2 linked regions of the Daphnia pulex genome follow. The protein of the gene in region 1 purifies or fractionates together with the protein of each later gene. This does not show direct contact. Links are inferred from orthologs where the notes say so. Each region holds a gene or a part of one and is shown in the gene's direction. Other genes may lie near its edges. The genes, in order: pre-mRNA-splicing factor syf1 homolog and RNA helicase aquarius-like.

What was found.
Region 2: the proteins of pre-mRNA-splicing factor syf1 homolog (region 1) and RNA helicase aquarius-like fractionate together in Homo sapiens (co-fractionation; 3 studies listed by BioGRID and IntAct, with this or other methods). This does not show direct contact. The link is inferred for Daphnia pulex from reciprocal best matches to the Homo sapiens genes XAB2 and AQR.

What each region holds. Positions count from the first base shown.
Region 1 is NC_060020.1:2,902,806-2,907,276, forward strand, and holds the start of pre-mRNA-splicing factor syf1 homolog, read left to right. Parts: upstream 1-1,614; 5' UTR 1,615-1,705; intron 1,706-1,766; 5' UTR 1,767-1,923; coding exon 1,924-1,965; intron 1,966-2,033; coding exon 2,034-2,182; intron 2,183-2,266; coding exon 2,267-2,390; intron 2,391-2,458; coding exon 2,459-2,883; intron 2,884-2,956; coding exon 2,957-3,089; intron 3,090-3,154; coding exon 3,155-3,544; intron 3,545-3,609; coding exon 3,610-3,795; intron 3,796-3,863; coding exon 3,864-4,471. Other genes in the region: pre-mRNA 3'-end-processing factor FIP1-like, read right to left, coding at 1-3, 66-311, 400-612, 671-907, 974-1,182, 1,313-1,436, 1,501-1,587. UniProt on the Homo sapiens protein: Involved in pre-mRNA splicing as component of the spliceosome. Involved in transcription-coupled repair (TCR), transcription and pre-mRNA splicing.
Region 2 is NC_060021.1:10,929,484-10,933,953, forward strand, and holds the start of RNA helicase aquarius-like, read left to right. Parts: upstream 1-1,630; 5' UTR 1,631-1,738; coding exon 1,739-1,837; intron 1,838-1,888; coding exon 1,889-2,146; intron 2,147-2,215; coding exon 2,216-2,422; intron 2,423-2,499; coding exon 2,500-2,677; intron 2,678-2,747; coding exon 2,748-2,926; intron 2,927-2,927; exon of another isoform or gene 2,928-3,041; coding exon of another isoform or gene 3,042-3,182; intron 3,183-3,246; coding exon of another isoform or gene 3,247-3,394; intron 3,395-3,456; coding exon of another isoform or gene 3,457-3,592; intron 3,593-3,659; coding exon of another isoform or gene 3,660-3,835; intron 3,836-3,907; coding exon of another isoform or gene 3,908-4,470. Other genes in the region: DNA-dependent metalloprotease dvc-1-like, read right to left, coding at 1-184, 250-369, 429-540, 599-774; probable G-protein coupled receptor Mth-like 5, read right to left, coding at 3,042-3,182, 3,247-3,394, 3,457-3,592, 3,660-3,835, 3,908-4,470.

The sequences.
Region 1 (4,471 bases):
GTCCTAAGAGGAAAAAGTTATTTTTATTTTGTTTTGTTTTCTGTTATGGTCTTTAAAATCCTTACCGAAGATCCCCACTGTGAATCCTGAGTAGGTTCGTATTGGTAATAATCATCGCCAGGAGCTCCTGGGCCAGCCATGAACTCATTGGCGTAGGGATCAGGTACTATAGGTGGTGGTGGTAACATCATTGGTGGTGGAATTACTGGTGGCGGCATACCAAATGGAGGAGGTAGAGCCATATTTGGAAAACCAGGAGGAGGACGTGAGAAATCGATCGATACGGGAGGTTTCTCCACAGGAGCTTCAGGCTGATATTAAAATGAAATTTAAATAATAAACTTTAAAGTTTTTTGGTTGACTTTGGATGAATATTTTATTAAGGATACGGGGCCTTACCACTTCGGGAGGTTGCTCCTCCATAGAAGGAGCAGGTGAAACGCCTGATTCTGGTCGGCGTGAAGATAGATTCCCTCCACCAATGACATCAATGGCACCAGCCATTTTGCGTGCTGGCGGAGGGCCTGCTTTTTTCACAACCACTGACCCCGCATATTTTGAATTTTCGTTAACCACTGATATCGGAATCGCTTGGGCCGGGGTCGCCATCATCTGAATCAAAAAATAATAATATCGTCTTTGAGCTTCATTTGTTTACGTATTTTATTACCTTGGGTGGGGGTCCTAATCCAAGGCTAGCCGGAACACCAGCCCCAGACTCCATACGGGATCGCCTTTGTCTCTCACAATATGCTTGCCACGTTATTTCATTGAAACCGTAATTAAAATAATCAGTGATATCAGCACCAGGCTTCCTCCAAGGTTTATCTTCCAGCGAATCCAAACTAAATTCATGTGCTGGTACACCGTTAATCGCCATTGAGCCTTCGAACTCTTCCACAGTGAACTTAAGATAAGATACATATGTTAAAAACAAACTCTTGCATCAAACATGATGTAGCTCAATGTATACTTTGCTCTTTTCCCCCAATCCTTGTGCCGTTGTTCCAGCTGTTCCTCTTTTGACATTAAAACCAGCATAAGCTGCTGGGCCAGATTTTATGTCACCAATCGTGATTTGTACGTCATCATCACTTTCATCATCCTCATCGTCATCATTGTCTTGATCTTCATCTTGTCTCTCATCCTTTTCTTCGTTAGTCTCTGCAGCTTCTTCTGGATCTTTTACAATAGAAAATACAGGATGTTAAAACTGTTATGGGAAAACCAGACAAGCGATTCAACACAGGGAAAGAGACAAGGGATAATAGTTGAAGAACTTTTCCATAATTAAAAATGTACATGAAATTACCATAGCCTTCTCCAGCGTATTCCGTATTTCCGTCATTTCTGTCTATGGCAATATGATCTTCATTTTCGATTTCGTACATTTCTCCATTACCGGTGGTGTCTTGGTCGATTTTTCCATCATCGCCCTGAAAAAAAAAGAGACAAGTATCAATTTCAGTTGACGAACAATAATTTTTTTTTTAAACTCACGTATTCATCTGGTAACTGTTCCGAGGAATAAGGGAATTGTGAATTAGAATTATCTGCCTCATCTGGGTGCCGGACAGTGTCGGCCATATTCGGTTGTAAACAGCAGAAGACCCCACTTCAATTTAGGCCTGAGGGGACAAACAACAGCGAATGTACGCTTGTGGCTTGTCGGCTGTCGCTGTTTCACATCAAACGCAAAAATAAGGTATTTTTACTATAAAAACTTGTGATAATCCATTTTTATAATGATCTCGTTATATAAAAAGACGCTATTAGGGACAAAATTCAACTTTAATTTGGGTTAGACGTAAGTGTGCAACTTGGCAACACTTCACCCGGCAGACGTGCATTTACGTTTGGTTCGTAAATTTATTTGTTAAATTTTATTTGAGCCGAGTGGCTGCGAGAAAATTCATAAACAAAATGGATAAAAGTATAGGGAAGAAAACTGGAGACATTGTTTTGGTAATAATACATTGTTTTATATTGAAGTTGACTAATAGGTTTTAACAATATGTCTTCTGTCTTTAAAGTGTGAAGAAGATTTAGCGTATGAAGAGGAGATTCTACGGAACCCTTACTCTGTCAAACATTGGCTTCGCTATTGCGAGTTCAAAAAGGATGCCCCTCCTGTTGTTGTCAATTTGATTTATGAGAGAGCTTTGAAGGAAATGCCTGGCAGGTTCGTTTGATTGGTTCTTGTAGTAGTACATAGTAAATAAGTTTGTACTCATTTTCAACTATCCACATGTTTGTCTCTTCACAGTTACAAACTATGGTACAGTTATCTCTGCCTAAGAAGGAAGCAAACTAAAGGTCGCTGTATAACAGATCCACTGTATGAAGATGCCAACAATACTTTTGAAAGAGCATTGGTATTCATGCACAAGGTATCTTAAATGCCAATTATATTATTATCACACATTATTAAATACCATGTTTTTAATGAATACCATAGATGCCAAGGATTTGGATGGACTATTGCAAGTTTCTGACTCTTCAACAGAAGATTACCACTACGAGAAAGGTCTTTGACCGTGCTCTAAGAGCCTTGCCAATCACCCAGCATTCCAGAATTTGGCCCCTCTACTTGAAGTTTGTTAAAATGCATCCAATACCAGAAACAGCTGTTCGAGTTTTCCGTCGTTTTCTTAAACTATCGACCGAAGATGCAGAGGAATTTGTCGATTACTTAAAATCTATTGACAGACTTGATGAGGCAGCTGTTAAACTTGCCCAGATTGTGAACAAGGACAGCTTTGTTTCGAAGACAGGAAAATCAAACCACCAACTGTGGAATGAACTGTGCGAACTTAATTCGAAAAATCCCAAGCAAATTAAAAGTCTTAACGTGGATGCAATCATTCGAGGAGGTCTTCGACGGTGAGTGTCTGGAAAAAAATTAAATGCAAATATTTTTACAAACATAGGAATAATTTACTGGATTCTTATGTAGGTACACTGATCAACTTGGCCAGCTTTGGAATTCCCTTGCCGATTACTATATTAGAAGTGGTTTGTTTGAAAGAGCAAGAGATATTTACGAAGAAGCCATTCAGACAGTTACTACAGTACGAGACTTCACACAGGTAAAATACTTTGTGGTCGTCTTATTTAATGCGAATCAAGTTAACGTTTTTCTGATTTACGACAGGTGTTTGATGCCTATGCCCAGTTTGAAGAGTTGAATTTGAATCATATGATGGAAGAGATTGGTCAGAAACCTAATCCTACAGAAGACGATGATATTGAAGTTGAGTTGAGGATGGCCCGCTTTGAGGATTTAATGGATCGCCGGCCCTTGCTATTGAATTCTGTTCTTTTACGTCAAAACCCCCATAATGTCGCCGAGTGGCATAAACGAGTCCAGCTTTATGAGGGCAAACCTCATGAAGTTATCAATACTTTTACCGAGGCTGTCCAGACAGTCGATCCAAAGCAGGCCATTGGAAAGGTGCACACGCTGTGGGTCGACTTTGCCAAATTTTATGAGAAAAATGATCAGATTGACGATTCACGGATAGTTTTCGAAAAAGCTACGCATGTAAGTTGTTTTTGCAGTGCATTAAAAGCCTTTGATCCCCTCATCATTTTTGTGTCACTTTAAAGGTGAAATACGTGAAAGTTGATGAACTGGCGACTGTTTGGTGCGAGTGGGCCGAGATGGAGATCCGAAATTCTCATTTCCAAGAAGCTCTCAAGTTAATGCACCGTGTTACAACTCCTCCTGCACGCAAAATTAATTACCATGATGACGCCGAACAAGTGCAAACACGTGTTCATAAGTCACTGAAGGTATTTTATATTTTTAGCCACTTCCATTCTAATGATCTCTCTACGATTGTCACATTTTTATTTTCTAGATTTGGGGTTTGTACGCTGATCTTGAAGAAAGCTTTGGTACTTTCAAAACATGCAAGGCCGTGTATGACCGTATCCTCGAGTTGAAAATTGCAACACCGCAAATCATTATGAACTATGCCATCTTTTTGGAGGAAAATAACTACTTTGAAGAAGCTTTTAAAGCTTACGAACGTGGCGTTGCTCTTTTCAAATGGCCCAACGTGTACGACATCTGGAACACCTATCTCTCAAAGTTTTTGAAACGCTACGGCGGCTCAAAATTGGAACGAGCTCGAGATCTCTTTGAACAGTGTCTTGAGGGATGTCCGAATAAGTTTGCCAAGACTTTCTTTATGCTCTACGCTAAACTCGAAGAGGAACACGGCTTAGCCCGTCACGCTATGAACGTTTACGAGAGAGCCACCAAAGCTGTGCCAGCAAATGAGCGCTTTGACATGTACAATATGTACATAAAGAAGGCATCCGAGATTTATGGTGTGACCAAGACGCGCCACATCTATGAACGATCCATCGAAGAGCTACCCGATCACCAGGCTAGGGAAATGTGTTTGCGATTTGCCGATTTGGAGCGCAAATTGGGAGAAATTGACAGAGCCCGTGCTGTATA
Region 2 (4,470 bases), on another chromosome or scaffold:
TTTTTACATAGGAACCACCACAACTTGCTTGATGAGCAGCCCACCAGTTATCATGTGGTCCAGGAGCTCTATTCATTGAGCGCTTTACTAGTCCATAGAAAGGTTGCCTATGCTGGCAAGGGCCTGTACATTTCCACCAATGCTGTTTGTACAGTTTTACTTCATCGTGGAAGCTGTGATAAATCTGAGAGTGAATAAATATTTTAATTTTAACCAATAAAAAAGTCTAAAAGAAAATACAGGGCTTACTGTGATTTTAGTTCCACTTTCTTGGTTGATTCTGTGCATATGAAATTGAAATTCTGGACCATGGCCATCCCTGTCCCTGTTGTTGTTCGTCAGGAACAGGAAGGCGTGGATCATTTCATGCTATTAGAAATAATAGTATTAGTATAAAAATTTTAATTCTAAGGAAATTATTTGTTTACCAGAAGAGTTTCAACAAGATCCTTTCTTGGTCTCAATTTCAAAAGTGGTACACTAAGGCTGATGGAGCAATGCCCAGATCTCCTTCCTTCATACCTACACAAACCAGCACACCTACAAACAAATTCATTAGAATACACTTCTATGGTTGTTGAACTGATTCAAACTATACACAGTCATTCTCGGGCTCCATTTCACCACAACACTTTTTAGCTGGCTAGAAAAAAAGCGATCATCAAATTGAAGAAACAGACTATGAATATCGGGGGTGGGATCCAAATATTCCCATTCTTCGTCCACGATAGAGTTGGGATACATTCCATTTTTCTGTTTGCTTATCAAACTCATTTACTGTTCTTGATTTAAAACAAAATGTGCAGTGGCCAATGGAGTACTGAATTACTGATCAAAGTCACCGGAAGTCCGGAACTATTTACAAACTTTTGAATCGTTGAAGTTCTTGATTTCGTCTGCTAATGTTTCTGTGGCAACACAGGCAGCGGGCGCCATACATCAAGATTTTAAACGTTTACTGATATCATAATTATTCAAGGATTTAATCCTTTGGGCACCTCTTTGAAAAATAAAATTTATTTTTCACTTTACCAATTACTCAAAAAAAGTCAGAAATTTTTTTGGAAAATAAGGAGAATGGCGGGTGGCAACGTCGTATTTACACTTAAATTTAATAAATCCTAATTTTAGAGTTTAATAAGAAAATATATTGAAATAGGCCAAAGGGGAAGGTTGTTTGGCTTATAAGGTTGCTTGGTACACGCTCGTACTCCATTGAGCTGCATACTGGAACTTAATTGAGCCACTTTGCGTTGCCGAGTGAACGGTAACGGGCCACGATACTCAATCAGGGGTTAATCGTACGTCTGAATGACACTACTTCGGAGCGTGAGACTAACTAGCAGAGTCATCACTGAGGTTGAACGGGTTACAACCTTTGTGATAGACATCCTTTACAGGCTTACAGCAACCGGATGCTTAATAGTTCAGAAGGAATTATTTATTGTTTGTTGGTTTACTATTTGACTATATATTGATGTATAGCAGATATGCAATATTTTTTTTCAAAACTTGTATGTAAAACAGATTCCAAAACTTGTTCAGTTGTTCTGAAAATCACATAACGAAAAAAAAAAAACAAATCGACCGCTTTGTTTAGTGTCCAGAGCCGCCGCTTGGGTTTCATCGTCTGCTGCCGGTTTCTGTGGCAACTAGGCGCCATCCGAGTTTTCAACTTTTCAAGCTGATAACTTGCTTGACGTTTCAGGCATTTTTAAAACGTATATATTGTTACAAAATGGAAAGCAAAGATCGAAACGATGGTTCGAGTAACAAGAACAATGAGAATAAAACACCTTTAACAGTCGATCAAATCAATTCTGATCGAATCACACAGGTAACAAATCTGTTGCATCAAATCCTTCACTATCTAACACATTTTCTTCAGGTTGCATCAAAATACTGGGCACCACAAACATGTGGAAATCACATGGATTTCGACGCCAGCATAGTTGACCAAATTTATCACCAAGAAGTTCAAGGTGCAAAATTCATGATTCGCCGGATCATGATGCTTGAGTTTAGCCAGTATCTGGAAAATTACTTGTGGCCAAACTACAAACCCGATAATTCCTCTGCGTCACATGTGTTATCAATAGTAATCATGGTTAATGAAAAATTCAGAGAACGTGTATCAGCATGGCAGGTGTGTGTTAGTTCTGTTATTCAGATAATATGTTAATTTACATTATTTATTATGTTGTTTTTGTTTTAGATTTTCCAAAAACTTCCAGAAAATTTTCCGAGCCTTTTTAAACAACTGATGGAAATGTCCCTTGATGAAAAATGGGGACTTAGTTTTAAGGAACGAACCATGATCCTCATCTTTTTTAACCATTGTTTCAATAGCCTTGAAATCGATCTGATCCGTGATCAAGTTCAGAAATTGGTCTCATTGTCTATTTGGACTTGTTTACCAGAGGTCAGTAAGATTACAGTAAAAACATCTTTTTCAGACAATTCAAGAGATTACTAAAAAATATCTTGAATACATTTTAGGGAAGAAGAGAACAAGAACTCAATGCTTTTCCTAAACTCAGAAAGTTTTGGAAAGTTATTCAGAAAAAAGACTCCAAAGAGAATGAGGATTCCAAAGCTAAAGCTGATTTTGAGCGAAGATTCCTTCAGCGTTTGATGCACAAATTTCTCTCCCTTTTAGCTACTATTCCGTTGGAAGGTAAAGATTTTTTATTGTATACGATTTTGAGAATTGTAATTAAAGCGTTATTCCAAAATGATACGTATAGGAGACATCGACGTAGAAGCAGTTCACTATTGCGAACGTTTTTTGGAGTTACTGATTGACTTAGAGGCTTTACTGCCCACTCGCCGCTTCTTCAATGTCGTCATGGACGATTGTCATCTGGTCACGCGTTGCCACCTGTCAATGTTGAATCAACGAACTGAAGGGAAACTATTCTCGCAGGTCAGTGTTTTCACTTTCAGTGTATTTCATTTGCGATTTTTTTAAATGCGCCTCGAGTTATGTAAACGTACAAAAGAAAGAATAAGCATCGTCCACGCAGTGTTAAACAACAAGGCTAGATCGGAGTTCCGAGGGCCATCATTTCTTCGCCGTAGTAGTGTCCCCGATCTCTTGTTTTCGGTGGGAAGCAGCGGCGACAAAGCCAACATTGCGACATTTGCAGGCGTATTTTCAAAAGGTGCATGACGCGGCGTCCCTGTAAAATCAAAAATAATTTAGATTCGCCTCCAATTAACGTGCTTATCATCCATCCTTTTTACTTTGAGGGCAGCCCAAAAAATTAGAAAAGGCAGTACAATGTCAGCCAAGATCCGTAGGCCGACTAAAATAGGATATTGTAACCAAGAAAATGTTTGGATTATCCAAACGGTTTCGATGATGAGGAAGAGACGGGTGTAAGCCTGAAAGCTAATGCAAATGAATGTTTTAATTACATTTCTTTAACTCAAAGGAGATCAGGTTTTTCTTACTATCCCTTGGTGCGGTGAAATGTCCGTCCGTAGGCCGTCTGATTACTAAGAGTAGAGCGAGTGGCAAAGTACACGTAAATATTGACCAGGAAAAGGAAGACGCAAGTCGAGCAGAATAGGGCTAATCCCAACCACCCTGTAGAAAATGATTTCCTTTTAGCAATGTGAAATTCGCTTAAAACTTGTTTCGCGATTCTACTTACCGATTCTGTACCAAGTGAAGAAACTGTGAGGTGAAGTGGTCCCGTGTGACTGGTCTTCAATGAAAAAGTGCACCATAACCGCTAGACCTGTCACACAAACCGCTGAACCCCACGAATACAGTGAATAAAAAACGTAGCGCTTTCCTTCCGGTCGCATGGCTTCTTTCCGTGGGTATCTATCAAATTGTAGAAAGAAAAAGTCGTTGGTTTTATTGAAGTATTAGTGATATCAATTTCATTTAGATTACCTGACGGCCGTCCATGCTCGGTGTCCGATGGCACTGAGCCAAAAATGAACGGCAACGTCTGAGCCATGAACCACCGACTCCAAGAAAAGTAAATTGAGGTACGGACTAGGTCGAGAATCGGCAGATGAGAGAATTAGGTTGCTAATCATGGTGACGATCATTGAAACGACGAGGCTAATGAGCATGCAACCACTCAGATCCCGTAATTCTTTGAGAACGAGATGAATTCCGGTTAGCGTGAGCAATACCAACAGGCCGACACCTAAGCCGATGGGGTAGAAAATTCGCACAAACATTTCGAAAAAGTCGCTCTCATCCAACGGGCCCGGCTCGCAGATGAGAGCGTAGTAGACCGGGCCGTCTGACGGAGGCGACAACGGTGCTGAACTTGTGTTTTCGGCACCGTTTGGTAATCCGTGGCCGAAATGTGACACGGATCCCAAAAGTCTAACACCGTCCACGCAATACTGATCAAGTGGATATTCGTGGTGACGAGGAACCTCAGCCAACTTGTCCACCACGTGACGCAGGACACCGAAAGGTCTTAGTTGTAAATCTTCCTG